Linked DNA regions of Caenorhabditis elegans. The protein of the gene in region 1 interacts with the protein of each later gene in a pairwise test. Each region holds a gene or a part of one and is shown in the gene's direction. Other genes may lie near its edges. The genes, in order: flh-2, src-2, taf-11.1 and odd-2.

The links.
Region 2: the proteins of flh-2 (region 1) and src-2 interact in a two-hybrid assay, tested with the Caenorhabditis elegans proteins (one large-scale study listed by BioGRID).
Region 3: the proteins of flh-2 (region 1) and taf-11.1 interact in a two-hybrid assay, tested with the Caenorhabditis elegans proteins (one large-scale study listed by BioGRID).
Region 4: the proteins of flh-2 (region 1) and odd-2 interact in a two-hybrid assay, tested with the Caenorhabditis elegans proteins (one large-scale study listed by BioGRID).

The regions. Positions count from the first base shown.
Region 1 is NC_003281.10:4,949,101-4,957,131, forward strand, and holds flh-2 (FLYWCH transcription factor 2), read left to right. Parts: upstream 1-3,023; 5' UTR 3,024-3,032; coding exon 3,033-3,266; intron 3,267-3,392; coding exon 3,393-3,854; intron 3,855-4,308; coding exon 4,309-4,584; intron 4,585-4,760; coding exon 4,761-4,988; intron 4,989-5,072; coding exon 5,073-5,174; intron 5,175-5,420; coding exon 5,421-5,531; 3' UTR 5,532-6,071; downstream 6,072-8,031. Other genes in the region: C26E6.1 (Protein kinase domain-containing protein), read left to right, coding at 7,791-8,031. UniProt on the Caenorhabditis elegans protein: Probable transcription factor. May bind to the promoters of target genes, including micro-RNA genes, in order to repress expression, and acting redundantly with flh-1 and flh-3.
Region 2 is NC_003279.8:14,319,327-14,329,700, forward strand, and holds src-2 (Tyrosine protein-kinase src-2), read left to right. Parts: upstream 1-2,910; 5' UTR 2,911-2,960; coding exon 2,961-3,206; intron 3,207-3,254; coding exon 3,255-3,376; intron 3,377-4,236; coding exon 4,237-4,358; intron 4,359-5,143; coding exon 5,144-5,341; intron 5,342-5,976; coding exon 5,977-6,047; intron 6,048-7,702; coding exon 7,703-7,966; intron 7,967-8,025; coding exon 8,026-8,314; intron 8,315-9,297; coding exon 9,298-9,509; 3' UTR 9,510-9,639; downstream 9,640-10,374. Other genes in the region: F49B2.9 (uncharacterized protein), read left to right, coding at 1-116, 163-191, 437-571. UniProt on the Caenorhabditis elegans protein: Non-receptor tyrosine-protein kinase which may play a role in larval and pharynx development. Unlike src-1, does not play a role in embryonic development.
Region 3 is NC_003284.9:4,251,843-4,258,629, forward strand, and holds taf-11.1 (Transcription initiation factor TFIID subunit 11), read left to right. Parts: upstream 1-3,327; 5' UTR 3,328-3,334; coding exon 3,335-3,456; intron 3,457-3,503; coding exon 3,504-3,804; intron 3,805-3,854; coding exon 3,855-3,941; intron 3,942-4,040; coding exon 4,041-4,153; intron 4,154-4,423; coding exon 4,424-4,567; intron 4,568-4,615; coding exon 4,616-4,886; 3' UTR 4,887-4,970; downstream 4,971-6,787. Other genes in the region: srv-5 (Serpentine receptor class gamma), read left to right, coding at 514-651, 749-895, 948-1,037, 1,183-1,338, 1,388-1,504, 1,676-1,836, 1,985-2,092, 2,147-2,243; srv-6 (Serpentine receptor class gamma), read left to right, coding at 5,219-5,356, 5,406-5,552, 6,042-6,131, 6,177-6,332, 6,379-6,492, 6,768-6,787.
Region 4 is NC_003284.9:6,157,439-6,163,838, reverse strand, and holds odd-2 (Protein odd-skipped-related 2), read left to right. Parts: upstream 1-3,311; 5' UTR 3,312-3,353; coding exon 3,354-3,664; intron 3,665-3,740; coding exon 3,741-4,194; 3' UTR 4,195-4,462; downstream 4,463-6,400. UniProt on the Caenorhabditis elegans protein: May function as transcription regulator. Required for morphogenesis and function of the digestive tract.

The DNA.
Region 1 (8,031 bases):
AGCTCAAAAGCTGATTTCTTTTTTTTATAGCTGTAGGACCTAGAACGTGTGCCACACCCAAAAGCTCAGTTTCAGCAGTTTGTTTTCAAATTGGTGGTCTAAATAGATTTATAATAATCCATTGTCACCGAGCACCATAATAAAATACTCCAAATACTTTTTTAAAAAGATTTTTCAAAATTTCCAAAAAAATTAGGAATTTTTGTTTCACAACTTTTAAAAACAAATTTTAAAAAAATCGTATTGTTTTTTTAAATACTTTACATTTAATTTTGGAGGTTAATTTCCAACGGATCTAGATCAAAGTTGGGAGAGCAAGCTGGAATAGTATAATACTCGTAGAATAATTTTTTGAGTCTTTAAAACCTCCAATTGTCTTTCCCTCTTTTCGCTTAAAATGGCTGCCTATATACCTATAGGGTAGGCCTATTGGTTTCCTATGCCTGCTAGTAATACTTGAATCATTTTCCATTTACCTGTTAAACTTGCAAGAATTTTGAAATTCGTAGATCCAGATAAGTGCAAACATGGAGTTGACGCCAGAAAGCAGAAAGTAGGCGGTAGGCAGGCAGGTCAGCAGACAGGCATGAAGAGTACTAAAGCCTACTATAACTTACTAAACAAGCCGTAACCCGTAGGTTGAAATTTTTGACAATTTGATAAAAACTATATACCCTCTATGAGATGAGGTAAAAGGTGTACTGTAATTAGAGGATCGAGAAGTAAATTTAATGTTTCGAAATGCACAATTTAGTGAGTTTAGGTATTTTGACCATTTCCACAAAACTCTGAAATTTTGATAGCTCACAAAAATGATGTCTTTTAGCTTTAATCCGTTGGTGCCTAAAGATTAAAATTAAAATGATGTAACCAAGATAGGAATATTATTTTCAAGCTGAAATTTCTATCTGAGCCCTGTAAAACTGCTCCAAGAGATCTTTTTTGCAGACTTCTGTGATTTTAATAGACGAAGAGAAGTAGGCGAAAATTCCGAAAGCTTTAAGGAAATACATTTTTGAATCTGAAATTTTTTTGACTTCACTTGCGCGAGCAATAGATTCAAAAAACTTAGAACTTTAAAAAAAAAAATGAAAGTCTTCAAAAAATCTATCTTTTTTGGAGCCTGATGTTACATTGTCTTACTTTTCTTGTAAACTTGAAAAATCTAGATCTATAACCACTAAATTCAGTGAATATTTTCATTTTTCCCATCCATCACCTTTGTTTTTTGCCGTACTAGGTGGTGATGGTGACACGGGAATATGGAGAAAAAAGAGGCGTAGAAGAAGAAGAAGAAGCGGTGACGATAATAGGTACGTTGGTCTAAAGAAAAAGAGAGAAAGAGCTTGTTTGGGTGGTCTTCTTTTCTTTTTTTTCTGCTTCTACTCTCGCTCCCCCGTCCTTCTCTCACTCCACCACGAGCGCCTCTATTTTGACTGGCGCCGCGTCGGTCATCTGACTGCTTCTCTCTTTTTTTCATTCTTTTTCTCTTTTTCTCTCTATCCATCTTTTTTCGGCGCGCGCTTCTCCTGGCGCTTCTCGTGGGCTCTGGGAGTCAGGTCCCTTCTGCTTTTTGGCTCCGCTTCAACGGAGTCATTGAGCTCACGAAAAGGGCATTCCAAGTTGGTATTTTTTGGTTTAATATTTATATTTTCTAAAAATTTAATTATATTGTTATTCATATAGTTTTTTGTAAGCTTAAAAAATGATTGTTTTCGTTAGTATCTAACCACATTGTAATAATTGAATATTTAATTGTTTTTTCCGGTCAGGACTTTACATATTATTCATGTTAAGCTAACTTTACAGATAATCATAAGTTTATGAAATTAACAAGAAAAACCGCAAGTCTTGTACAATACTTTCGCAAGTTTAAGGGTCTGCAGACCGGCCTGGGCTTATGATTGCTCTTAGGATTAGGCTCAGGCTCAGGCTCAGGCTCAGGCTCAGGCTCAGGCTCAGGCTCATGATGAGGCCTAGGCTTAGGCTTAGTTCGTTTTTTTTCAGATTGTCTTGATTTCTTAAAATTCGCGTCATTAGACGAAATTCCCGCTAGGTATAGGCCGCCTCCGACTGCGTTTTTACTTTTTTGACCAATCTACCATCTAATTCTAGGGTTCTTTCATTATCTCTGTCACTTTTTCATTAAATTTGTATCTTTCAAAAGTGATGAATAACTGAGTTAAACCAACACAGCATGGCGCCAATAAATCGTCCGTCGCCGCGTCCTCCTCCCTCTCTCCTCCGCCGCGGCCGCTTCCCGACGCCATTCCGCATATATTTAGTGGATTCTACTGATGTGGAGCCAATGGAAACCGGGAGAGGGGAGAGGCTCCAAACCGGCGGACGGACCCCTGCTGCGACCAGCTGGCGCCTGGCGCGACCATTTTGTTCCCCCTCACTGCATCGTTTACTACTAGTGCAGTCTCTGTCAAAAGAGCACACTCTCTTCCATTTTTTATGTTTACAACAACTCGAAGAGGGCAATCTTAAACTATTCATTGGAATTTTGGAAAACATCGGAACATTATCTAAATATTTTTAAGAAGTCTACGAATTTTGAACTTTTTGAAAAAAAGCAATCTAGCAAAATATTTTCAACTAAATAACTTTTTATCATATGTTGAGGAGGTTTAGAAAGATTGAAAGCACTACAATTAGAGGTGAATTGGAATGTCCTTGTTTGCTCTCTGATTAAAAAAAATACAAGTTCTAGTAAAATAGTTTTGTAGATCCCAATCCAAACCAGAGAAAACTCATGATCTCACAATTTTGGAATAACCCTATCATATTTTTTCAATTCTCCGATGGTACCACTTCCTTTTCTTCTATTGCACCTAAATATTAATATTCCCTTTACTTTTGTTTTTTGTTCACCTTAATCGCAATTGTCACTTAATTCCTCTATTAGTACGCTTCTTGCATCTCTTGGATTTGTTATTCAAATGTTCTAAAACAATTGAGACATACCGTGTAGATAGTTTTGAATTCATCGTATTTTCCATTAATTTTCCTCTTTTCAGACCGCCTGTATGGTGGACACCATGATGAACACAAATACAGATGGTGTCACAGCGGTTCCTCCGATCTTTCCACTACCGTCGACGACACCAAACAGAAATAATAATAATGAACTGGCGATGTTGGCACAGAAGCAAATAGTCGCCGGATTACTGTTACAACAACCAACGATTGTGCAGGCAGCGGTGAATGGAACCAATTCGCAAAAACATTTGGCAGATATTGACTATACGAATGTTATTCAGGTGAGAGATGGGCTCTTTGTGGTTTTGACTCCTTGATTAATATATTGAGTTATAGATGTGAAATTGATTCTCTTGAAAGACTTTTTAGATATTCATGTTCGAGTAAGTCTATCTGTTATTTTTCAGACTCTTCAAGCCCTTGGCACTACAAATCTAAAAGCATTCTCTCTACTTCTTGATCCACAATCCCAAACATCTCAGTTAATATCTGAAGATACACGTCCATCTGCCAGCTCATCACCGTCTTCAACTGCAACTGCAGTATCTAACAGTGGACAATCAAACGCAACATCCACGTCATCATCGTCCACAGAACCCGAATATAAACCGAGAAATGTGCGAGAAAAAGTGTATGCAGATGGATATATCATGTCATTTGATAAGAAATCGTGTTGTGGAACTAAAGAATTTTGGAGATGTGAACGAAAGAATGATTGTAATGCAAGAATGCATTCAGATATCAATACACGAGAAATTGTGAGAAAGTTACATCCACATAATCATGAGAAACCGTCGCCCGAAGAACTTGCATTTTATGAGCAAGATTTCTCTACTCTCCATCCAAATTATTGTCATCCAGTGAAAAGTGTGAGTTTTTTTGAGCTAAAAGATTTATGGTGAATATTCAAAACTTGAAATATTCAAAATAGTTAGAAATAAAAAGTCGAGAAAGAACGAAAATGTATGTACGCCGAAACGTTATATGTATTTCGATTTTTACTAATCGCCCTGCTTGAACTTCCTCTAAAATGATAAATGTTAGACCAATCAGCGATTCGCTCCGCTCATTTTCCAACCAATCAGACGGAGTGGGCGGAGTTTAAAGACGCAGTGGGCGTGGATTTTCATCGCGGGGGGTTACAGGGAAACCAGCCAAAATAAAAAAGTTTTTTTTTAGTTTTCGGTAGATCCTGTAGGCAGGCAGGTAGGCACAACACTTATTGTTAATAAAACATTCGGATTATGTGTAACTGCTAATTTCATGTTTTTTGATTTAAGAATTCCAAAATTTCCCAATCTTTTTTAAATTGAAATCTTTTAGATCAACCGATCCTACATGCAACGAAAACTGAGCCGTGCCTCACATGTATCACAAGCTCTACCAATTGCTCCACAACAAATTAAAGCTGAACCAATGGAAGTTGACACGACAAATCAAACAATTCAAAACTTTCAACAAAACAATAATTTAATGCTTCTCGCCTCAATCAATGCAGCAGCAACTGCGGCTGCAGCTGCAACTTCTGCTGGAATAAGTCCGCCGGTTGTTGGACAGAAAAGAGTATCAACGACTGTGATGCCTATCACTTTGAAATCGGTTTGTTTTTCTTGAATAATTATGCTTTGTTCAAACATCATAAGGTTGGAACTTTTCAAAACTATAGGTTTGAGCCAGAAAAACGGAAATGAACTAAAAAAAATGATACGAATTTCTAAAATTCAGGGCCAAATTCGAAAATTTCGAACAACTTTGGAATTTCTTAATATTTTCAGCAACGCACAACTCCTAAAGAAGAAGAAGATTCATCTCAATTGATGTCACAAGAAGAATTCCGTATCACTTACGAATTGACCAAAAAGCTCATGGAAATGATGAAGCCAAAAACTGAAATTGGAGTTCGATGGCAAGGAGATGAAGGGTCAATTCTTTTGTTCTTATCACATGATAATGGAGCAGAAGAGAATGTCTTCTTTCCGGTGGTTGTCATGAATCGTGATGAGGTAAGTAATATAATTTCTGGAAGCCCGAAAGACTGAAAGCAGAAAACAATCAACAATTATTTCCTAAAAATTTATAATTTTCAGAAATCCCTAATCACTGCGTTAGAAGGATTCACTGGCAAACGTTGCGAAGGAAAACTTGCTCTGTGTTACTCACAGAGGGTTAATGTGCTTGTACATGAAGCGGTAAGCGAATCAATTTTCTAAGACTAGACATGAGCCCTGGTAGAGTTTTGCTACGTGGCGGTGAATATGAGAAAACTCTTCCACTTTTCGAAATTTAGCATTGATTATTTGTATTTGTTGTAGGGGAAGCTCGAAGACCTGTGGGAAAGCTCGAAGATTTTTTCGAAAGTTTGGCAGTTTGTCAAATTTATCCTACAAAAAATCTAAATCAAGTCATTTTTTTCTAAGCATTTCTGAACCTTTCAGCTAATCAGCAATTGGACACACGGAAAACTATTTCTCGTCAACACTGATGCACCGGCTCTCTGGCGTCTAACGCCCGTCGACGCTTTCGGCGAGCCTTTAAACCATGTCTAAGTGATCATTATTCAATTAATCGATAGTTTGGAGTCATGAAATTATAACTTGACCGACTGCAACGTTTCGCTGCACGCTACATTTTATTAGTTGTCATGAACCTATAATATCGAGCTCCCGGAGCAATCATATAATTACAAATTGTAAATTTTTTTTTAAATTTATTCCAGCCATTTTCCCCTCTCAATACCTCTCCCTTATCTTGTCTCTATAATCTTGTCTGTTTCTCAACAAAAAAGCTCGTCGTCAGGTCCCCCATTTCCGGATCTCATTGTGAACTTTTCAGAAAAGTTCGCAAATTTTCATATTCCTTGTCAATTCCAATCTCTATGTCTCCCTTTTATTGTGCTCTTTCCCCCTTATAAAATTACGGAAACCACCCTCTCCAACTCAGGAAAAAACCCCCTTTATATGCTCCTTTTCTTTTGATAAAATGATATCGTTCAACTAACAATTATCCCCTGATCACTTACATCAATAAATTGTTTCTATGAAATAAAAATATATATAAAGTGGACAATTGAACATGAATAAGTAAAAAATGTTGCTATAATGTCACCATTGTGTTCTAGCATTAGTATGTCTAAGTCCATGAAAAATTGAGTACCTAATCGTAGCAAAGAGATGAGAAATAACCAATTTTGTCATCAAGTTCCGAATTCATCAAAAAATATCACAAAAGAGCTCCAACATGCTCCAACAAATACTCATCAAATTTCGTGACATTTTTGTCGAGTTAGAATCTTCAAGAGCCGAATTAATAGATGTTGCTCCTCTAGTAAAAGTGAGTGTTTGTGTTTTATATGACAAAATTAGTGTTTTTTTAATTTTGAAAACTATTCTTACAGCTTGTCGATAAACTCGGAACACGGATGTTCAATTGTTAACTTTTCAGACTGGCGGTCCGCATAATTATGGGCCACCCTGTAGTAAGGGTCGGTCTAGACTCCAATTATACATTATCAAAAATATGTAGAAAGAACATGACGCTCATACAATTGTGGCTGTTACATTGACGATTACATCAAAAACGTTGCTAGGAAACAAATTGAAACGTTTTTTATCTTAAACAATAGAAAACATGTTAGCTAAATATCTGATCGAGACATAATTATTGCTTTAAGTGTGCGAAAATCAAGTTTTACTTGTCAAGATTGTTTTGACCATCTTGCAATTGTTCTTTAGAGATATGAGAGAAATAGTGCAGTTGTAAATTCGATCATTGCAACTGCAACAATCATTATCAAAATTGAATAGTGTTGATATCAAAATACATTGAAGATCCTTGAAAATTGAAGATTACACAGATGTAAGTCATTGATAAAAACTGCTTGGTTTGAAACAATGATTCAAGACTGATGATAGAAATTATTCCGAGAATTTCAGAAAAAGGTATGGCCGGAGAGTACCTTGACAGTAAGTTCGTGACTCAACTAATCGCTCAAAGCTCTATTTCAATTCCTTGGACCATTGCTTGAACCTTCTGAAAATAATATTTGTGGAGGTCAAACCGTACTGAATCATCGTATTCAATCGAGTTGTCAGCATAAGATCTGATACTTGTCTTAGTTTGAGAAGAATGAAAGAATTCATACAAACTTGCACACTCTCGCACGCGCAAAGCTTTTCAATTAACTTCAAACCTACGAAGTACGCACAAAAATGTTATCCTGTAAGCCTTCACGGTGACCTACGGCTGCTGGGAAGGCAGTCATGAGACAGGCACGTACGTCTGAATAGTTGATTTGACATGGAAGCTTATGTCGGTTTCTGTTTTCGTCAGAATGATCAGTTTCGATTTTAACACTTTGCTTTTACACTTTTTTCTCTTTCATTTCCAGCTTCTAATTCGAAAAAATATTTTATTATCGTTTGGGTGAACGTGTTTTCGCTATTTTTCTTGTTGGGTCTCGCCACGATCTCTATCATTTTAGCTTCTAAATAAACTTCAGAAAATCGTACATTTAATGTGGGAATTAAGATTTATCGGGATTTCACACTCTAAAAAGACAGAAATAGCAGTGAGATCCTGGTTTTACCCGCAATTAAAAAAAAGGCATTATTCATCAAAACCTATGGAAATTTTCGAAAAACGTCATCGAAAAAATAATTTCGAAATGTTCTGAATCTATGAATATTTTAAATCATTAAAAAAAAAATTCCACGTAGTTAGTAAAACCTTTTTGAAAGGTAAACTTACGCAGTCTGTGACAAAATTACTTCATTTTTCGCTTAACTTTATCAATAATACAATGGAAAATGAAAGGAGTCGCTTTAAAGCTGGTCCCTCGGGTTAATGCGACATCAAAAAATGGATGCCTTAAGGAGGTGGACAATGCAACGAAAATCAATTCAATATGTGAAAGTGCTCCGAACACAGCAAAGCTTCTGCACTCTTGCATCTTCCCGAAGATCCCAACAACTGTCTGTTCACAATATTCATTATCGCCACATAAGACTCATTTCGCGATGTTTATGGAAATGTGTGGAAGTGAGCTGA
Region 2 (10,374 bases), on another chromosome or scaffold:
ACTGAGAAGCGGAAAAAGTGCGCCAATATATGTTCAAGTCAATAAGAAGAAAGCTACGAAACTAGCTCAGCCGGTTCCAGTAGCTCAGGATAGGAAGAAGAAGAAGAAGCCGAGAAGTGAGTTGAATATGTAATTTTTTTATATATTTTTTTTAATTTTCAGAAGTCCGCGACGATGACACCCTTTCAGACGTAATTATATTGGTTGAGGCTCACATCTCTCATAGTGTCCCATTTCGGTTTGATCTACGTAGATCTACAAAAAATGCGGGAGAAGAGACGCAGAGTTCTCAACTGATTTTGTATGGTTAAGAACGTGCTCACGTGCTCACACATGCTCAGAGAACTTTTGAGCAAAAAAATCCCGCATTTTTTGTAGATCAAACCGTGATGGGACAGCTGGGCACCTTTAAATTCAATTTCTTGTTTTTTTTCAGATTTCCGATGAGATGCCCCAAAGGGTAGCCCCTCTGGAAATCCCGAAACCATCCTATACGGATGAACATCTCAAGTGGCTGATCCTTTGGAAAATTATTGATTCTTTGGAATATTATAAAAAAGATTTTGAATAAAGCACATTAGATTCCCGCCCGCAAATTGTCTGTCGCTACATGTAGCCCGCTTTTACAGAAAACTATAAAGTCGGCAAAGTGCGCTCTATCGACTAATTTTGAATAACTGAGTCGCACGTGGTGTCAGGCCGTCCCATGTCGGTTTGATCTACTTAGATCTACGAGAATGCTGTGTGACACCGAGTTGTTCGACCAAAATATTATTAACTAGCAAATATATCATCTTTTCTAGATTTGTAGAATCCTAGAATCCAAAGCACTCCTAAAACTAAAAATTTAGCAGTTACACATTTTCCTGAAGTTTTCTTTTCTGGAGCCGTTCTCAAATTACTGCAACTTTCCAGAATTTTCCAGAAATTCGCTCTTTTTTCTCAAAAAATTTGAAAAATTTTAATAAAAAGTTTACCGATCCAATGAAAGCTTAAATCCCTAGCCTGTTAATCAAATCTAATTTGATAATGACAGCTTCATCATCCTCTCTCTCTCCCTGTCCTCTCCGCGCGCAAAAAAAGATGTTTTCCCACCAGCGCGCGGGCGCCTCCGCTGCTGTCGAAATTGCCATTTTTGTAGGTCTGCGTCTCTTGGGATCAGTATGCTACCTGCAATTGGGAGTTTAAGGCACGCGCGTTCCGCAAATGTTTGCTAAACGGCGCGGCGGAGAGAGGGAGAGAGAGAGAGAGATGCCTGACCTCGGTGGACAAATAGTGAGAGGGATGAAGAGAGAATGAGACAAAAACAGTTCCCTCTTCTTTTTCACCCCAAAGACGGTGGGCTAGCCAGCAACCGGCTAAATGAATTTCTTTCCGGCTTTTGGGTTTTTTACCTAATATTTTGTATTTTCATAGTTCTTATTATACAATTTTCGCCAAAGATAGAAAATGTAGTTTTCCTTTTAGGTCCCCCAATTTTAGATTATACTACTACTTTGGAACATAGTTTTTAGGCCTTTTTTAAAAGATTTTTTAGCTTTGGCTGAAAAACTCCTGGAACTGGGAATTTTGGCCCAGAAAATTGTGACGTCAACACGTTCTTAACCGTGCGACAACAGTTGGCGCATTTTTTGTAGATCACACCGTTATGGGACACTCTGACACCTTGTCGGAATATTGTTAGCCTAAAAAACTTTGATCCCTAAATTTTGTTGCTCACTTTATTCGAGAGAAATTTCAGTTTAAATTCTAGGCACTGAAATTATAATAGTTCTCGATTAATACTATGAGTTCCTTTCCTGCTTTATTGTAACCTTTTAGCTTGAAATTTTACTTTAAAAACTGAATTTTCTACTCTAGAAGATTGATATATTGAAAAAGTTGTAACTCATATATTATAATTTAGTGCCAATTTTACGGTCAAATTTTTTGATTTTTATTAGCTGACAACTTTTCATATTTTTCAGGATAAAATAGATATAGTAGTAGTCCAGAAAGTTATTTTTATGGCTCCTAGAAATCCATACAACTCTTTATTGGGGCTAGATGTCAAAAAGTTGTCAACTAAAAAAATGTAGCAAATTTTATGCGTAATGTATTGTTAGTTGACAACTTTTTTATATTTATTAATCTGAAGGTGTTATAGTCGATTTAATACAGCTAGTTAGTCCTAGCTTGCCCCTGAAACCCCATAACGAAGAAATATAAGAAAATTTCGCATTAAGTATTTTATTGGTTCACAAGTTTTGTGTTATTTCTTTTTTGAAACTAGTCCAAAATTATTTTTACTTGACTGATCATCTTAAAAATTTTTGCAAGTTTTCTTGGGCCCTTTTTTTTAATCGCTTACAAAGAAATGCTCCAGGCTCCTTTAAATTGTGCAGCAGACATTTATCGCTGCATTTTTCCAAATTCCCACCTAAAGTTTCGCTAAAAATGAATTTTCTGGATTTATAAACCCTGTAGCTCCCCAGCGTGTCAAGTAGTCAGAAAGTTTTTAACTGATAAAACGAAGTAAGCTTTGAAATCTACAATTTTTTAGTTGACCACTTTTTGATATATATATATCAAAAAATAGATTGACATACCAAAAAATAGATTGGCATATCAAAAAATAAATTGGCATATCAAAAAACAAATTGGCATATCAAAAAACAAATTGGCATATATATATATATATATATTTAAACGATTCATGGCAGTTTAACGCCCACACCTATTTTGCCCTGGCTCCTGGAAACCCCTATAACTATAACTTTAATTGGTGCTAGTGTCTATCAAAATGTTGTCAACTCACAAGTTGTAGTAAATTTAATTTTTTTGATCTACAATTTGCTAATTGACAATTTTAAAACGCTATATTTTGTCCAGCGAACCCTAATGAACCAGAACTATCTAAATTTCTTCCAGAACCTCCCAAATCAAAAAACTGACGACACCAGGATCGTCCGTTCCTCCCCATGGGATCCTGTATTGGAAAAGAGGATCCACCGCCTGGTGCAACGTCACCAGTCCACACGTCATCCACGTTGGGAAGGGAGTCACTGCCAAGTCATCCACGAATTCCGTCCATCGGTCCGATTGCGGCGTCTTCCAGTGGAAATACGATTGATAAAAATCAGAATATCTCGCAATCTGCGAATTTTGTCGCTTTATTCCAATATGATGCACGGACAGATGATGATTTGAGTTTTAAGAAGGATGATGTTAGTTTTTTATTTTATTTTTTGAAACTCCATATCTCATTCTTTCAGATCCTTGAAATTCTAAATGATACCCAAGGAGACTGGTGGTTCGCCAGGCACAAGGCAACTGGACGGACTGGGTATATCCCGTCGAATTATGTTGCCAGGGAGAAAAGTATCGAGTCACAGCCGTAAGTTTTTTTTTTTTTGAATTTTTAGCCAGCCTAGGGAGAGAGGCCGGACTTGAACTTGTGACCTCCAGATTGCTGGTGGTTACCACTACCTACTGAGCTATCCAGCGCCTCTTTGTTAGTTGTCACAGGGGCTTGATCAGGTGTAACTAAAACTGTCATAACTCCTTTGGCTTGTGAGATACAAAAAAATTGTCAACTAGCACATTGTAGAGCAGAAAATTTCCTACATTTTGTTAGTTTAAACTTTTTTGATAGCTAGCACCAGTGAAGAGTTATAGCACTTTAGAGGTGTCAGCGGGGAATCAGAGCAGGCGTAGAAATGGTTCAACTCTTTAAGTGTATTTTTACCGGCAAAAGTTGTCAACTGACAAAATGTTAATTGTAAAATTTACTACATTTTCGTATTTTGAACCTTTTCAGTAACTTAATGTTTGTAGAGTTACATAGCTTTAACGAAATTTTGAAAAAAATAACATTTTTACGAAACTTAGAAAAATTCCAACTCACATTAAAACCTTAAAACTCGAATAATTTTGTAGTTCACTGGTAGTAGTACCTAAAATCAAGTACTTAATATTCCCTATATTTTGTTAGTTGGCGACTTTTTAATATTATAGCTAACACCATTAAAAAGTTATAGGGATTTCTAGAAGAAATCCGTGTAGGCCTTAAAACTATGATAACTTTTTAAAATTGATTGATATCAAAAAGTTGGCAACTAGCAAACTGTAGAACATAAAATTTGCTACAATTTAATAGTTGACAACTTTTTAATAGCTTGCTTTATTGCAGAGTTACAGGGATTCAAAAAATAAGATTTTAAAAATCCGAAAATCTAAATTTTTACAAATTTCCAGGTGGTACTTTGGAAAAATGCGGCGAATCGATGCGGAAAAATGTCTATTGCACACTTTAAATGAGCACGGAGCATTTTTAGTGAGAGATTCCGAAAGTCGACAGCATGATTTATCATTATCAGGTCAGTGAACTTTTAAGGGCGCCCCATAGGGCACATGGCGGGCGAAAACCGGTTTTCTGGGAGAGATAATCAAGGTCGGATACAACAAAATGAGAAAGGCGCGGTGACAGTAAGAGGCAGAAAAGAGGTTATCCCCGCTCGCCCCGACCTTTTATGATTCCGAAAGTAATGGGAATTTGGGAGAAAGGAGGCAAATTGGGAGATTTTGATGGGTTTAGATGGGTAATTTGGGATGGGGGAATTTAGATGGAAACTGTCAAAAATAGATGGAATATACATAGATGTTTATTTAATTTTTAAAACTTTTTTTAAAAAATTCGAAAAATCATTTTCGATTTTTTTAAAAAAATTTTATTGAATTTTTTGCCAATAATTTTCTAATTTTTTAATAAATGTTTTTTGAAAAACTGATAGATTTCATTTTTTCTGAAAGTATTACAAAAAGTTTTTATCTTTATTTTCAATTTTACAATTCTGAAAAATTATAAAAAAATATGTATTTCGTGCTTTGTAGTTTGTAGTTTGTAGTTTGTAGTGTGTAGTTTGTAGTTTGTAGTTTGTAGTTTGTAGAAAACCTTTCAAAGCTCTTTTGAGAGTTACCAAAAAACGTTTTTTTGGGAATTTTGAATTTTTCAAATTTATAATATTTCAGTATTTTTTTTTCCTTTGTAACATTCCAAAAACTGTCAAAAAAAAAACAAACTCATCAAATTCCAAGTTTTCTTAAATTTGAAGATTGTAGTTTGTAGTCCAAAATCCCCCTATTAATCCCAATTTTCTTGCAGTCCGAGAGAACGACAGCGTAAAGCACTACCGTATCCGTCAACTGGACCACGGCGGGTATTTTATCGCCCGGAGGCGCCCGTTTGCCACGTTACACGACCTGATTGCACATTACCAACGAGAAGCCGATGGTCTTTGTGTGAATCTGGGAGCTCCTTGTGCCAAGTCAGAAGCCCCACAGACAACGACATTCACATATGGTAAGCTGGAAGTTTTTATGCCTGACAGGTGCCTACATCTGCCTAGATGCCTACTAGATACCTCGGTGCCTACTACATGCCTAGATACCTTTTTCATGCCTAGATACCTACGACATGCCTAGATACCTACTACGTGCCTAGATACCTACTACATACCTAGGTAACTGCTTGATGTCTAGATGCCTACTACATGTTTAGATACCAACTATATACCTAGGTAACTTATTGATGTCTAGATGCCTACCAAATGCCTTGATGCCTACTACGTGCCTATTAACCTACTACATTCCCAGATACCTACTGCATGTCTAGATACCTACTACGTGTCTAGATGCCTACCTGATACCTAGGTGCTTACTTAATGCCTAGATTCTTACCAAATGCCTAGATACCTACTACGTGCCTAGATACCTACTACTTGCCTAGATACCTACTACATACCTTGATACCTACTACATGCTTAGATACCTACTACAAACCTAGGTAAATCCAGTAGGCAAAAGGCGAACCTAATTCAGGCCAAAGTTGACTTAAAGGTAGGCAGGCATTATTGTGCCTACCTACTAGGCCAAACAATTCCAGGGACCCACAAGGCGCCCAGTTACCTTTAAAAATGTTCAAAATTCCCATTCCAGATGACCAATGGGAAGTGGACCGCCGTTCGGTTCGTCTCATTCGACAAATTGGAGCCGGGCAGTTTGGAGAGGTAAGCATCATCATTCTCTTTCGGTTGTTTGCTTATTCACGTTGCCTGCCTGCCCGCCAGCCCCACAGCCCGCCAAATAGTGTGCACAGGCTCATCCTCCTCCTCCTCCTCCTGTTGCCTATTCCGTTCGTGTTTGATGTATATTTGTGTGTGTGTGTGTGTGTGTGTGTGTGTGTGTATAGAGAATTGATGGAGAACGAGATAAACAGGAGAAGATATGCTAATTGAGTGGGGGTAAGGAGATGATCTTAGGGGAAAATTGCAGGGGGGGGGGGGGGGGGGTGGGTCCCCGATGCACCATGTGTAGCCCCAAATTACAATTGTTAGGGTAGAGCCTGAAAAATTTTAGGTTTTTTTGTAAAAAAAACCCCAAAAAATCGCATGAGCAAGAATTTTTCTTGATATTTCTAGGCGCACGGGGTTCTGGCCTTCCTTATTGATTTTTTCGCGCTCCATTGACCTGGACAACGCGTGGGAAAATCGTGCACTCCACACGGACAACTACAACAAGTTTTAAAACTAAAATCGAGCCGCGACGCGACACGCAACGCGCCGTAATTCTACCCCAGATATGGCCGATCCAAAATGGCCTTGTTCGGCAAACTCTTCCATCTCAATTTATGAGGGGAGCCAGAAATCCGTGTAGGCGCTACTTTACACTCAAAATAAAAAAAAACTGCGTGGCGTGTACTGCAGAAAACCTAATATTTAGGCCCCGCCTTTCTCTCGTCCACTTACGGAGAAACGGCAAAAATTTTGACCCCAACCAATATCAGGCCGCCAACATCTCACGGGTTCCGCGCGTCGCTGCGTTTAACTCGCAGCGGGCGGAGACAGCTCGTCACGCCCACAGCAAGTTAAACGCAGCGGCGCGCGAAACCCGTGAGATGTCGGCGGCCTGATATTGGTTAGGGTCAATATTTTTGCCTTTTCTCCGTGAGCGGACGAGAAAAAGGCGGGGCCTAAATATTAGTTTTTTATTTTGAGTGTAACTCCCAGAAACCTCTCAGCCTATGGACTAAAAAACTTCAGGCTTTTATTTTTCCGTGTTTTTCTTAATCCAGGGGCTTTTAGTGTAGATCCTAAAACAACCGGATAAAACGGTTTCCCCTTTTTCTATTGACTTTTCCATCTCCTGATCCGAGCAGCTACAGCCGCCAATATTGAAACAGATAGGACCGGTTTGAAACATGATATCACTCCCCTACAAACATCAGTTCCGCTAGGAGATCTCATAAAACGAAGGGATCTGGAACATAGAGATTTACCACTAGGGTTATAAGGAAATGTCGATGCACCATGAGTAAAAACTCAACCTCGAATATAGATAGCAAGGCCCTAAAATGAATGACAAATGTTCTCATTAGAGCGCACTTAAATTTGCAAGCATGAACGAAAATATGAGTTTTGTAAGAAATTTAATCTATGAAGCTTCAAAACCATGCGAAAAATGGCTAAACATACGAAAATTCTTACTACAGCTTACTAAAGTGTGTGTTTGAACTTTGAACTTTTTACCTAACCCCGCCCCCCCCCCCCTTATGCTTGCATGTTTAAGTGCGCTCTAGTGAGAACATTTGTCATTTTTTAATTAGAGCGCACTTGCAAATCAGCTTGCAGATCCTGGATGTACTACATAAACCATCAATTTCCAGGTATGGGAAGGCCGATGGAATGTGAACGTCCCCGTCGCTGTGAAAAAGCTAAAGGCCGGAACCGCAGATCCTACGGATTTCCTAGCCGAGGCACAGATTATGAAGAAGCTCCGGCATCCGAAGCTTCTGTCCCTGTATGCAGTCTGCACACGTGATGAGCCGATTCTTATAGTCACCGAGCTAATGCAGGAGAATCTGCTCACATTCTTACAGCGACGAGGTCGGCAGTGTCAGATGCCTCAGCTGGTGGAGATCTCGGCGCAGGTGAGGTTCACGTTCGGATTCCTCGAAATTAAAAAAAAATTTCAAAAAAAGTTTTGCAGGTTGCCGCTGGAATGGCCTACCTAGAGGAGATGAATTTCATCCATCGAGACCTAGCAGCACGAAACATCCTTATCAACAACTCCCTATCTGTAAAAATCGCAGATTTCGGGTTAGCCAGGATATTGATGAAGGAGAACGAGTACGAAGCAAGAACCGGAGCACGGTTTCCGATAAAATGGACGGCGCCCGAGGCGGCGAACTATAATCGATTCACAACCAAGTCGGATGTCTGGAGTTTTGGAATCCTGCTCACCGAGATTGTCACGTTCGGACGGTTACCCTATCCAGGTGAGGATTTGAACCGACCCGTTTGATCTACACGAATTGCGGAAATTTAGGCGCAGACTTTTCAACTGATTTCGCATGGTTAAGAGTGTGCTGACGTCACCATTTTCTGGGAGAAAAATTCCCGCATTTTTTGTAGATCAAGCCGCAATGAGACAGCCTGACACAACGTAAGATGGTCTCATTGCCGCATGACCTCCAGAAGTGGCGGGAATTTGAATTAAAAATTTTGACGTCATATGAGCTTTTTTGAAAACTAACATCCCGCCTTTTATTGAGGTCAAATTATTTTTTTTACAAAATGGTACCAGTTCGCTAATTATAAAAATTAAGTCCCTTATTGAAGGGGCCTTGAAAATTTCGCAAAACTTTGGGAATAGGTCGCGTCAACTAAAATGTGGAATATTCCTGCGCCCTTCGCCGTTTGATCTCCGGGAATCGCGGAAAATTCAAATTTTGAAAAATGCGATGTAGCCTAAGTTTTACTGTAGAACGTGGTGTCAGAGTGTCCCATTTCGGTTTGATCTACGTAGATCTACAAAAAATGCGCGGAGTTGAGACGCAGAGTTCTAAAGTGATTTTTAGAACGAAAAACTCCCGCATTTTTTGTTGATCAAACCGTGTAGTACCCCAGAAACACGCCACACATTTCAAAAAAGAAATTTCCCGCCATTTCCGGAGGTCACACGAGCACATGGTGTCAGGCTGTCCCATTGCGGTTTGATCTACAAAAAAATGCGGTAATTTTTCCCTTAAAAGAATGTGACTTCAGCACGTTTATCAGTTGAAAAGTCTGCGTCTAAATGCCCGCAATTCTAGTAGATCTACGTAGATCAAACCGAAATGGGGCAGCCTGACACCACGTCTAGGTTACTAAACTGGTCCTTTACGAACCATTTGGGAATATGAAATGGCAAATTTAAAGCGAAAATCCCCCCGCAATTTATGTAGATCACACTACAATGACACCTCTTTACCATTTCCAGGTATGACAAACGCCGAAGTCCTACAACAAGTCGACGCCGGGTACCGTATGCCGTGCCCAGCCGGGTGCCCAGTCACCCTTTACGACATAATGCAACAGTGCTGGAGAAGCGACCCGGACAAACGGCCAACCTTTGAGACCCTCCAATGGAAGTTGGAGGATCTGTTCAATCTGGACTCTTCCGAGTATAAGGAGGCCAGCATAAATTTCTGAGAGAGAGAGAGAAACTTTTGGGTGCCTATATACAGCAGCTACGGGTTTTTTTTGTGATTTTTTCTGTCTGTGTGTGTTCTTTTTTGCTCAATACTGTTTTTTTTTTAATAAATTATTGATTTTTCTTATGATCCAGGCTTAAGATCCAGGTAAGAGTAACCTGATCACATTTCAAACATTTCTTTATGATCGGCAAATATTAAGAGGGATATCGAGGAGAGGAGGGGGGTCTAGGTAAAAAGTTCAAATTCACACACACACACACAAACAGTGGAAGTGGCTTTAGTTCAAAAGCTTGAAGAATTTTATTATTTTTTAGCAATTTTTCGCATTTTTTGGTGCTTTCTTGAGTCCAATTTTCAATTTTTCGGCTTTTTAACTTTTCTAACAAAAACTCGATATTTTATACTTTATTGCAAATGCGCTCCAACGAAAAAGTGATCAATGAGCGTTAGGATTTTCCATTCCAAAAATTGTGATTATCAAGCGCACGTGGTGCCAGGTTGTCCCATTACGGTTTGATCTACAAAAAATGCGGGAATTTTTTGCCCGATGAAATGTGACGTCAGCATGTTCTGAACCATGCGAAATCAGTCCCGCACACTCCCGCATTTTTTGAAGATCAACGTAGATCAATCCGAAATGAGACTCTCTTACACCACGTGTAAGCGCATTACATTGAGAAAATTTGAGGACCACATTTCCAAAGCGAGATATTCAAATTTTCCAATTATTAAAAGTACGCTCCATTGAGAAATTGTAGGAAACTTTTATTTTTGTCATTAGAGCGTGTTTAGATGTTGTTGTCGGATTAAGGTATAAGTTGCAAATGAGCTCTAATGAGAAAATCTTGAAAACTGAATGT
Region 3 (6,787 bases), on another chromosome or scaffold:
TCTAAGAATACTTTTCATCAAGAAAAGTAAATGGTGAGAAACACTAGAATAACTTCTTGAGGAAATCACTGGAAACTTAAAGGTGCACACGCAAAATTTTCCTTTTTTAAAACCACCGCATATTTCTTTGGAAAGTTTTTTTGTTTATTGAATGTAAACAGTACGACGGTTGCGGTATAGTTATAAGTTATAGGTCCGAGCAGGTGTTCAGACTCCGTTCTCTAATATTTCTTTAAAGTATTATTTTTCACAAGTGTTCCAATAGAAGTGGAAACAATAAAAGCAATGAAAAATATGGGGATAACAAGTCACTTGGGAATTCACACTAATGTATCACCTTCTAAGAAAAAAAATCACATAACAACTATACAGTTTCCACTTATTAACTATTTTCATACTTATTTAGTTTCGTGTTATAGTTTTCATAGTTTTTTAATTTGTATTAACATTACCAGAAACTTCACTGCACCATAAAACTTAACACTACTTTTCTATTCAATATTATTTCAGATTATGCCGGCTTTGCAATGGTTTTTATTCATTTCCAGTTTAATTTCAATTTTAATTTACACTATGATCGTTTTCACTTTAAAACGTCATCGATCAAATGCTCTACTTGGCGGTTCCTTTTTTAGAATTGTGGAAATGCAGGTAGATCTTTGAAATATAAGTAAACATCACACTTGATCAGAAATTTCACCAGAAAGAAAATTATATTATGGAGAAATATCAAAAGATTAATTTTCAGTATTATGCGGAACTATTTTTCTTCGTCGAATTTTCAATCACCATGCGCTTCAGAAAATATAGCTCGCTTTATGCATTTTTCGAGCCAGACACGGAATTTCACGGTATCATTCCGCGTATTGTGTCTGGATTTCATTATTATATTAAGGTAAGGTTGAATTCAAAAATTACATTTTTCTATTTTTTCTATTTTATTTCAGATTGTGGTATACATTGGGTATCTAACGTTTGCTCTGAATCGACTCACTTCCGCACTCAATATATCATCATATAACAGTGTGAATATTTCAGTATGACATTAACTTTCAATACTTAGCCCTAGTCTTCTTGATCTGTCAATGAGTTTCCTTCGTGTGTCATTATCAGTTTCAACGTGGTTTTGCATGTTTTTCAACCAATTCAAAATTACTCATTACAAATAAATGTTTTTTTCAGATTTGGACTCCAAAGCTTTTACAGCGAGTCAGAATAGTGAAATGGGCACTGCCTTTAATAGGAATTCTACCAACTCATGCTTGGCCGGGTTTTACTTATTGGTTTATGATAACTTCTTCATCTATACGATTAACAAATGATTCCTTATCCACAGCGGTATAATGCTTACTGAGAATTTGAGATAATAATTACTTTATAATTTCAGCTTGTTGCATACGTTGACGGAATTTGTTGTCTTGGAACGTGTGTTTTCTGCATGATTTGCTATACTGCAACGTGTTTCTTGATACGGAAAAATTGGAAACGTGTGAAAACTGACACGGTTTGTTGAGTTCAAAGTTTATTTTGGTAAAACTTTAAAGAACGATCCGTTACCACTTTGGATCAGAAAGTCAGGAACAGCCTCCCCAGGTGGTGCTTCCAGCTATTGTCGTCCTAACATAAATCAAAATCTCAGCCTTAAAAACATTTAGAAAAATATCTGTACTTTAAGGTATTCCGAAAAAACAATGCACAATCTGCTGCAGAAAGAAGTCTACTTGTTTCCGCCATTTTATCATTTATCGTGTTAATATTGAACACTGCTGTACAAGTTGTTACCATTTTAATATCCTGGGGTGGTGCGACAACATTACTTTTTGTTCAAGACCTCTCGTAAGTCATAGTTTTTCCAGAAAATTGTCATCACAAACCAGGAACTGGAAAAAAATTAATCTCATTCGACCTTCTAGAACAAACACATTAAATATATAAGAGTGTTTTGCTGTGCCCAAACAGCTGGTGAAACTTTAATAATTTTCAGATATCCTATGATTGATCTTATGTATTCCCATTTTCCATGGGCGTTATTAGTCACGTCGGGAGTTCTGAGGAAGCAAATGATTTACGATACAAAAATTTTCCTACGAACGTAATATTTATCTGGTGAAGGGTAGCATCTTTCAAAAAATGTTTTAAATTTCAGGGCTTTCAAGCTTGACGATGCATCGGTGAACACAATACGGGTTGGGCATACTGTATCTCCCGCCACACAGAAAACAACAAATAGGACGCTGGCTTAATTGGTTTACGTGTAGTTTTAGGCACTTTTGAAACAGCATTGTCACTGTTAACTATTGTTTGGAATGTTGTTATAAAAAATTTGAATGTGTACTCATTTAATTTACAACTGAATTATGGGTTTAGCTGAATTTTTCAGGAAACAAAATGTTTTTTACTAAGGAACAACGGAAGGTCCAAAGAATTTCATGAACAATTACAATGGGAAATTTAAATTCACATTGTGAAAATTTTTTTACAGCGACTTTCTCATAATAAAGTCTAATTTTGAGCAAAATCATTAGAGTTTTGAACTCACCGGTTTTTACTACCTTGTTTTGTAGTAAACTTATCAGAGTGAACCCAGTTTGGCTTTTGTGAATGAATATAGCAGTTGCATGATCAAGACCCAATGATGTATGGGAAACACAGTAAATTAATGCAAATGGGAATGCAATGTATTGTCATTGCAGCGGATGTGGCAAGATCACCACGCATCTCCAAAAACCGTATTTGGAATTCTAATTTCAAGTATCAGTGTGCTAATTTACAAACAAATAGTTAGTTTTTGGTCCAAAAGTTCACAAAATTTTATTTAAAATAGTACTGCTATATTTGAATGATTAGACTATTTGAAATATTCTCAAATGTTTTCATGGTACACGTGTTTCAAGAACTCACATTTTCAGTGAACTTAATGTCTAATTTCTGCTTTTTCAGATTTTTTTTTGTTGATATTTTTGGATTTTCGAATTCTCAAGTTTCATCAATTAAAAAAAAATTTAATGAGTATGAAATTTGTTTGGTAAAACAAAAAATCTCCAAATGTTAATCCTCTTATTCCTCCCAACCATTGTGTTTCTCAATTAGACAAATCGTCAGTGTCTCGAGTGCCCTTCGTCAATCGATAAACTGACCTCTGTCTTCCCAACCAACACACTGAGACGCGCTCTCCACACAACGCTGGCCTAGAATTCTCCATTGCCGCGTCCTCTCGACTGCACACACATTCAAACACACACTCTTTGCCCGGTTTAATACAGTTTTGCATTTTTCTCACGAATAACGACGGTTTTTTTTTTCCATTTTTTATTGTCTGTTTTATAGAATAAAAATGAATGCCAACGATTTGTTTGGTGGCCTTAGTGAGAGCAGTGGGAGCAGTGACGAAGACGACGACACTGTGATGCCACAACCAACAGGCGCTCACAATGTGCTTGCAGATTTGGAGCTCAGGTAATCTTTGCTTATATTATTAAAATTATATCATATTATTTTTTCAGCGATGACGATGGAGATGAGGATTTTTCAAGAGATGGAATGCGCTCTGACGAAAACCAAATTTCGCCGGGACAGGAGTCCGTACCAACTCCGATCACACCGAGAGCACCAGTCGTCTTTTCACTTTCCGACGGAGAGGATTCTATGGATATGCCGGACATCGACCAGATGATGATGAAACGGAATGCCGCTGCTGCCGCGGCCGCTGCTGCAGAAGAGCAAGCTGCTCGAGAAGCTGAAGCTGATAGAGTTGCGGAGGCGAACAGAGCTGCGGAAACCGCCAAGACTGCTGAGAAGCGAAAAGTGAGTCATTTCTTGTTTCCCGACGATGTATAATTATAATATAATTGTAGATTGATAAAATTTCAAAAAGCGAGCCACCAAGAAAGCAGCCACGTCATGATGATAACTCTGAAGCTGGGCCCAGCGGGCAGATTTCGGTACGTAAAATCTGTGATACTTAACTAATTCAAAAAGAAATGGACTGAATATATTGGTTACCCAATATTAATCGCCGATGAAACACTTTTCAATTACAGGGAGACGACGACCTTCTGGACACAAACATTTCGCTGGAAAGCTTCGACTTGAGCAAAGTAAACGATGCAAGGTACCAAGCATTGATTCAACAACATCAGCCGGAAGAAGAAGCGTAAGATTTTATAGAAGAAGTATCGATGCGTTTATATAAGAACAAAAAGCACCCAAACGGACAAATTTCGTATGGAGACTTCTCAAAAACTTCCTCAAATTTTTTTGACCGTTCACAATCTTGAGAAAACACTAATTTTAGCCAACATTTCCAATTTTGCAACGTTTGCGTGTCGCAGCAGTATATAAATATAAATGAGTAGAATCCAGAATTAATATAACTCCTTTAACACGCTGGCACATTCGATTATCTAATTTATTCATTTTTCAGGCCTGGCCCCTCACGTCCAGCACCAGCTCGTCCAGCGCGGAAACTTGACGATGAAGAAGAAAATGAGCTTTCGCGATTGAAGACACAAGTTTTGCTTTCCAACTTTTCACAAGAGCAACTGGAAAGATATGAGTCATACAGACGGTAATATTGGTAATAAAACACAAAAAAATAATAAATGATGAACTTCAGCTCTTCATTCCAAAAGTCGACTATTCGCCGTTTGATCAGTCAGTACACTGGAGGAGTGAACGTTGGACAGAGTGTGGTCATCGCTATCGCAGGATTGGCTAAGGTGTTCGTCGGTGAAGTTGTCGAAGAAGCATTGGATATTCGTGACATAAATGAGGAAGAAGCTAGCAATCCACTACAGCCGCATCATATTCGTCAAGCGTTCCTCCGGCTCGGAGAGCAAGGAAAGCTATTCCCACCAATTGGTCCGAAACAATCCCATCTTGAGTGAATAATTATTTTTCTTTGGTTTTCCGTTTCATTTTTATTGCTTTGTTTTACATATAATCAGATTCTAATGAAAAAAAGTAATCACTGACTGCCTATGTGGAAACAGAAAACTTTAAGTTACATTTTGACCGGAAATTTGTTTCTCTGACATTTCAAAAAATGTCACGTGCACAAATATCAACATAGAACTAACTAGAAATATATCTAACCAACTTATTTTTTCTGAAAGCAGTGATCAACAATTTGCCGTTACATAATTGTAGATGTCGGCGCAGTTTAGTTTGACACGGACACTCGCCAACTCTCAATGTGCTCTGACCAGTCTGACTCGCGATGCCTTTGGAGCAAACGTTGCTTTTCATATTAGGCCTGATTTCAGCTCTTTTATATTCAATGATTGTGAGAACACTTAGAAAACATAGAAAAACATCTCTTCTCGGAGGAACTTTCTTCAAGCTTGTTGAGCTGCAGGTATAATAACTTTCTCCTAGAAATCTTTTTTATTAAATACTCTTTACAGTTTTACGCTGAATTAGTTTTCTTTATCGAATTTTCGATCACAATGCGGTTCCGAAAGTATACAGATTTTTACATGCTGTTTGAGCCAGATACAGTATTTATTGGTATTATTCCGCGAATTATTTCTGGCATACATTACTACATTAAGGTATATTTTTTAGTGATCTGGAAAACGTTTTCAAAAATTAAATAAATCCGCCGAGTTTCATAATCAGACCTTGAGAAGTCGTTAAAAGTCGTTAAAACATAGTTCAAAAAAAGAGTAAACTATGAATAATGCGGTAATTGAGCTTACTAGTTCTCCACGTTTTTGTACGTAGAGACTCCGGCTTTTTTGAGAAAATGTATGTTAAAGCTCATAAGTACCAAAATTCGTCATGCTTTGTGCACCTGAAAGTCAACAAACTATTATACAAACACCAACACAACCCGTAGAATTAACGATTAAAATGTGCAAAATGAATTATAAATTTATTAAAAATTATCTTTCAGCTATCTAGTATAGGCTAGTAAAAGTGGAGGTTATAGCTAAATTTTAACTTTTTCTGTTCAATTTTTTGAATTTCGGAGTTATGTAAAAAGCAACTAACGTAGCTACTTTGCTAATAAAAGTAATCAACAAATGCACATTTTCCAGCTTGTTGTCTACATAGGTTATTTGTTTTTTGCTGTTAATCGACTTTTCACCGCTTTGATGGTGTCTTCATACGACAAGGATAACATTTCGGTTTGTTGAAATTCCAAAATTTTCAATATTTATTATGTCTTTCAGGTATGGGGTACAAAAACATTGCAGCGGATAGCCATTGTTCAGTGGTCTATTCCAATTCTTGGACTTCTGCCAACACATGCGTGGCCCAATTTTGACTTTTACCTTCTCATTACTCCAACTGCAATGCGGCTGAATAACGATGCAGTTTCAACAGCGGTATTCAAAAAAAAATATTAGTTGAAAATTATTGTTCAAACTTCAGCTAATTGCCTACATTGACGGAATGTGTTGTTTGGTGACTTGTGCATTTTGTATGATTTGTTACATTATAACAATGATACTCATTAAAAAGAATTGGAAGAAAAGCTCAAACACGGTACAAAATTTTCAGATTTTCAAATCAGAGGTGCGCGGCAATTTTTCATAATTGCCGATTATCGAAGTTTTCGAAAATCGGCAAGCGCTAAAATTTCCCAAAAAAAGTAATATTTTCTGCAAATTTAGGCGCTTTTAAATTTGTTTTTATTGTTCACTTTTTAAGTTGAAAATTCAAAAACCATCGAATGTTTTTTTTTTTCATATTTGGCAACTGTTGCAACTGCCCGAAATTTCCAATTACTGTTCATCCCTGCTATACCATTCAATTTTAAGGTCTTCAAGAAAACAGGCGC
Region 4 (6,400 bases), on another chromosome or scaffold:
CTGTTGGAAGGGTTTCAAAAAATCTACCTCGTCTTCTGTTCTTCTGCCATAACAAAAGAAAAAATGACAATTTTTCTGTGTCATAATCTAACTGATATCATAATCTACAGTAACACAAAACAATGCTGGTTTCCCTCGTCGCTCACTAATGAATTTTCTGTCCGTTTCTTTTTCAACATACCTTCAATTTATTCTTTTGTATCGTCACAAAAAGTTCTCCTCCTATTCTAATACTCTGGGAGTCGGTACCCGGGGGTGTTGCGCAAAGGGAAGATGTTTATTTGTCTGAAACAGTGGGGGTTCTGTTTGGGATGAGAGCCGGGAGTATCATTTCTTCAAGGAGGGGATTAATGGAAATGCACAATTCACACCGGTTGGAGTCTTCAACACAGAGGTTATGAGGATACCGACATGGGAAATTACATAATAGAATTTTTAAAAATTTACTTGGAAATTACAAAAATTTCCACATTCCTCCCATCATTCCACTGCTTGGGACAAAGTTTCGCATACCTATAAGCCGATATGTCCTTTTTGTTTCAAAACCGAGACATTGGCGTCAAAAACTTCATGATAACTGCATCTTGTCAGCATTATCGCTCCTCCCTAACTTGCAGTAAGCGGATTAATTGTACCCCTAAAACTACCTACTAAATAGAAGCCTACGCTTTTTGTTATCATTACCCTTTTTTCTTCTTCACACAGAAAGAACCTTGTTCTGCACGATTCGCACACCTTTTCCGGAAATCATCATTGACTCACACCTTATTTCATTTTGTGATTGACTTTGGCATCACTACGGTGGATAATCTTCAGGTAAATAGAATTTTGATTCATTTTTTCCAAGTCTTTTTTATCATTAAACTATCATCCCATCTACTCACCTCTAGTGTTTTCAAAGATAATAGTCAATTATCATTAGTCGGCATGTTGCACCAAAAGGGAACGTTTATGTAGTGAGAGTCATAAAAGGAACACGTACCACCCCAACATGATAGGTTTCATAAAAAGTTGTCGTCGTCTTTGAAACCAAATTCAAACGGAGAATAGCCAAGAAAAATGGTTTGCTCAAAAAAAAGTGGGCGGTTTTTCTGCCGCGCGGTACTCCATATTCCAAGTCATTCTCTTTTATGTCAAATTTTAATGTGTATTTTCAAAATTTCTGTTCACTATAATAGGACAGTTTACTTCCATAACTCATCATTAACGAGTAGCTAGAAAGGTGTATAACTGTCGTGCAAATGTTATCTAAATAGTGCAAGATGTCCTAAGTTGTCATCAGTCAAGTTATAAAATGTCACTTATGTTTTTGGTGTACTACAGTTACCTAATCAAAAATTTTGAATTTCTCTATAGATTCGGTTCCCGTGTGTCTAGAAAAACTTTATCCAGACCTAAAGGCGCTTTTTATGTTTCTTATCGCTCCAGACAGTTTCACGGTTTTTTAAAAGTATAGTTAGGTCTAAAACTTCTTTGAAAAGGGTGTCATGAAATCTTCAAAGATCTACTTCTACTTCTAAAGTAGGCGGTGCACGGCAGCACAGGGCCTACCGTAGTCAGTCAACCAGCGCCCGCCGAGAGAGCAGCAGCAAAGACAGTGGGCGTGTCGGAGGAGAAGACGAGCTGAACACGAGGTGGTGGCCGCCTCCGTCTGCTTCTGGGAAGCCACTCAGTTCCTCCATTCTACCAAGTATAGGCGATATTGTATGTTCTGAAAACTTGGTTCTGCAAATTTTTCAACTATTTGTGTGAGTTGTTGAAGATCTCTAACAAAAACTGTCTTAACTCAACAGTTTTATCGTTACACAGTAGCTAGCTAGCTAAGTTAGACAGTGCTCATTCGAGCACATTCTGTGAAAACTAAATTGAAAAGTACCACTTTTGGAAATTCCATATTGGAGAATCTGTTAAAAAAATCATTTTCAAGCTGAAAAATTAAGATCAAACTTTTATACAGTTTGTAGTGCCCAAATTTTCGACAAAAGTGCATATAAAATTTTGTATTAGTATTAGTCTGAACCGCTAATATGATTCAATGACAAATTTCCCGCCGTTTTACCCACATTTTTCAATTGTGTTTTGCAACCGTACGGAAGAGGGTTCTACTGTTTTTTATGTGGCCAGCATGCATCATAATTTGTATCATTTCTTGTTTTTAAACTATTATACATGAAGCAAAAAATTTTTGAGATGTTTAAAAGCGGGAAAATAGGTGGCTCGCGATACGATTTTATCATAACAATAGGTTGAGAATGATATTCTGCTCCCTGTCCGCTTTCGTTTTTCCCCATTGATACCAAAGTTTCTTTTTTGGCACCATTCTTCTTTCCACATCGCCGAAATAGAGTGAGAAAAACGGGGAGAGTCAAAGTCACAGTATCATCATATTGTCAATAGAAGAGGCCCATATTTAACTGTGATTTTTTTCTTTTTTTCTGCTAACTTTCTTCCTTCTGAAAATGTCTAATGTTTGCATATCACCGCGAGTCTTCACCCGAAAAGGCTTTCCCTTTTTCTCATTTTTCCCCTACTTTTTTCTACTTTTTCTACACTTTTCGACTCTTTTCTGCTGGTTTTCTCTATGAGTCAATATGGAAAATGTGGTTCTCATTTTCTTCAATTTCATAACTTGCAAATGAGATAGATAGCTTCTAGTCACATACACCTCTACTGTTTGGTAAACACTCCCCTAACACCTCCGTGCACGTCGGCTACCTTTGATGTAGGACCGAAGCACGGAAGCCAACCGTTTTTATAGCCGCCGTGTACTTGATAATATCATGCGCCCGAGCATCAACAAGCCATCAAAACCTTTCTACTTACCGACCAGCACAAAGAATTTCTTTCAATTTCGCCCCTCTTCCATTTCCAATCATTCGTTATCGCCGTTTCCAAAATTCAGAAGTGTTAGCGAGTCTATAAAAATTCATAGATGACGCGTGGTGTAAAATGTGAGTCGCCCTCCTCCCAAAAAAGCGGCACCATAGAGTCAAAGTATCCCACTGAGTTGTAAGTGATCCTCCTTCTTTCTTGACAGTCATCCCTACCACCACCGCAACATTGTGCTCCGCCTGTTCAGTCCTCTCCTCCTTTTAGATTTGTTTGTAGTAGATTACCCCATAAGACGATAATACTCGTTAACAAAGTGACAACTTCTCTTGAAAAGGAGCAAACAATAACTATCGCTCCTTCTTCTGAATTCTGCTCTCTTACATTGCCCAACGGTATCATCATTTTTCCCTCTTTTCAAATCGTATTTGCTCGTTCCGCTATTTTTGCGACCTCAAATCAATTTGAAATAATTGTTTTCTTTTCAGCTGGAATCAACACTAGCCCTTCCCGCACACACAAAAATGCTTCCGTGGCAACGACAAGTTCCAACATCAATTTTTCCTCAATCAAATGAACAAGTTTTTCGAATGATGCTTGCACAACAACACCTCCAACTCCAAAATTTTCTGCAGCAGAGGAAAATGGCGCTGCTTGCTATGAATCCAGAAATTCCAATGATCACCGATCTCAAGAAAGCAAAATTTGACTTCACTCACATGGCTGATTCAATTGAATCTGAACAGAAGATCAAAGAAGAAAGTGTGTCTCCAAAAATGTCCCCGACGCTCACTACTGCAGCCGTTCGACCATTTGTTCCTTACGATCAACCATGGTAAGCTCTTGTATCATAATGTACGATATGATGATAAGAAATTTTATACTGTATCATCTCAACTATTTAGTTTTAGGTTCATGATCCCTGGACGTGGAAGGACTACTGGCCGAGCAGCCCGACCAAAGAAGGAATTCATCTGCAAATATTGTGATCGTCACTTCACCAAGTCTTACAACCTCCTGATCCATGAAAGGACACATACTGATGAGCGACCATACTCGTGTGATGTTTGTGGAAAAGCATTCCGTCGTCAGGATCATCTTAGAGACCACAAGTATATCCACCAAAAGGACAGGCCATTCAAATGCGAAATCTGTGGGAAAGGATTCTGCCAATCAAGAACTCTCCTCGTCCACCGTGCAACACATGATCCAAACCGACACAGTATTGGAGCTCCAGTTGTACCAATCAAAAGTGAAACACCACTCCCTGAACTGGATCCACGAGTAACATTAATTCTTCAAAATCTCACTGATAGCTTTAATTCGACGTCTATGACATCCCCACAAATCTCACCTGATCGCTAAATTCTGCTGAGAATTAGTATTTGGCATCTAGGCTTTCTTATGAAAACGGTCAATTTTGTCATTCCTGCTTAAACATTTTCATGTTGTCCAGTATTACTTGAGGATCATCTGTTTTTTCCAATATATGCTACTCTTTTTTTTCATATGTCTATATTTTTTTCGATTTACCTTCTCTCTTCATACTTGATAGGGTCAAAGTTTTAGATTTGTGATTGTGTCAGATACAATATTGTACCAAAAATAAAACATTTTCTGAATGACGTTGCAATACGGTGTATAGAGTTTACAAGAGGGCAGCAAGGGATCATATGTGCAATATCCACGGTCGGCACCGTTTATTGCAGATGGGTGTCTGTTTTCAAACCGGAAATGATTTGAAGAGGATAGAAGGCAGCATGAGCTCCACAGCAAAGGGCTCACAATGTGCAAATTTTTGAGCTAGCTCATTGAAGTTTCAGCATTGACTATTAATTCATGAAACTGTGCACACAGATTTCATTCCAAATCTCTGAAAACCCTAATTATCTCACATATTTCCTAAATTGGTTTGAAAACCAAACTTGAAAATATTTTAACTAAGTTTTTTTGTTGGGCATTAAAGATTTAGCATAGTAAATTTTCAGACAATTAAATATATTTGAATAGTTTCATGTTGTAGTAATGTTTCGCAACATTAGTATGTCTTTGGTTTGTCGTGTGAGAAATGCTTTTATTTGTATTTTTTAGAAGATAAATTTGTTTTGCCATGCTTAGAAATAAACAAGTTCTGATTTTTTTAAATTCAGTTTTTTTTGTCTTATTCAGAAGTTTTCATTGCGATCAGACTACCACTTGGTTTGAGGGTCATTTTCGAATTTTTCGCCGGAAATCTAGTATTGATATGTGATTGAAAAGACTAAAGCATTTCTGTAACTACTATTCTACTCTGATCTTCAAAACAAAGAGCAACAGGGAGAAGAAAGTTGAAAAATCGACTAGCAATCTGCTATGGGCTTTTTGAGATTTTCAGAAATGTTTTCAAAAATCCCATTTTTTGAAAATCATGAAAATGTTTTTTAAAGTTAAATTGCATTAAAAAATGTTTTTGTGGTGTATGTTTTGTTTTTCATAATACGGAATGGACTAGAAACAAAAAATCGCTCAATTTTCACATTTACTGAATTTTAAGCTCAATTCTGACACTATTGATTAATTATTTATTCCTAATTCTAATTACGTTAAATCACACGGTTTTATACATTTTAGTGTTTTTTTAGAAAAGTTTCATATTTTCGAGTCATATTAGAGACAAACTGGCACAAATATGTTTTAAACTTGTGTGTTGTTAAGAAACTTACAACCGACGAAAACATTATTTTTTTCAATTATCTAATCATTTGTTGATATGTTCAAAAAAAAACAGGTTTATGAAAACCGTATTAAAAAATTAGTCATTTTTTGAATGAATTTTCTTGTTCAAAGTGCTCATCGGCAGCTATGAAAGGTATATTTTAAAGATTCCTATACAAAATATGTTTCTGTAATAGCAAGAATTTGAAGAGAAAATTGACTGTATTCAGAATGATTTTCAGACTGTTTCTACTGACATTTGGTAGTTCTGAGAGTTGTTGAAAAATATGGTCTATTAAAAAAATGATGTGATGATTTAAAATAATTTCGTAAACCGAACAGCAAAATGTTATTTATCATTGGAATACTTGAAAGCTTGAACACAAAATTCTACGTGATTCTCTATAAACTTCAATGCCATATTCTAAACTGAAAGAATAGTTACTTTTCAACATTTTGATTGTAAAATAATCGTTTCATATTTCATTGATCACGTGAGATACCAATTTTAAACTGAATCCTCTCATTGATAAAATCATTCATATGTTGCCAATCGATTACAGTTCAGAGTAATTTTGTTACGGTAGTGATAAACGAGCAACGCTGGCTAAACCCGCTTATGTCGACCAATTCAGCCGTACACACGGGTTTCTGATTCTGTGTCGGTTATCATAACCTACCAACTCCTTATTAATCACTACTTAGTCTGTACACTGAATGGGACCGTTATGCAATGGGGGTGCCAGGTCATTCTGATATCATAGAAGGCTAGTGGGAAACTGATTTGATGACATACTATGGTCGTTGTTTTTTAGGGGAATATTTTGGAAACCAAGCATAAACTGAAACAAAAAAAATGTGTTTGTGTTTAATTAAT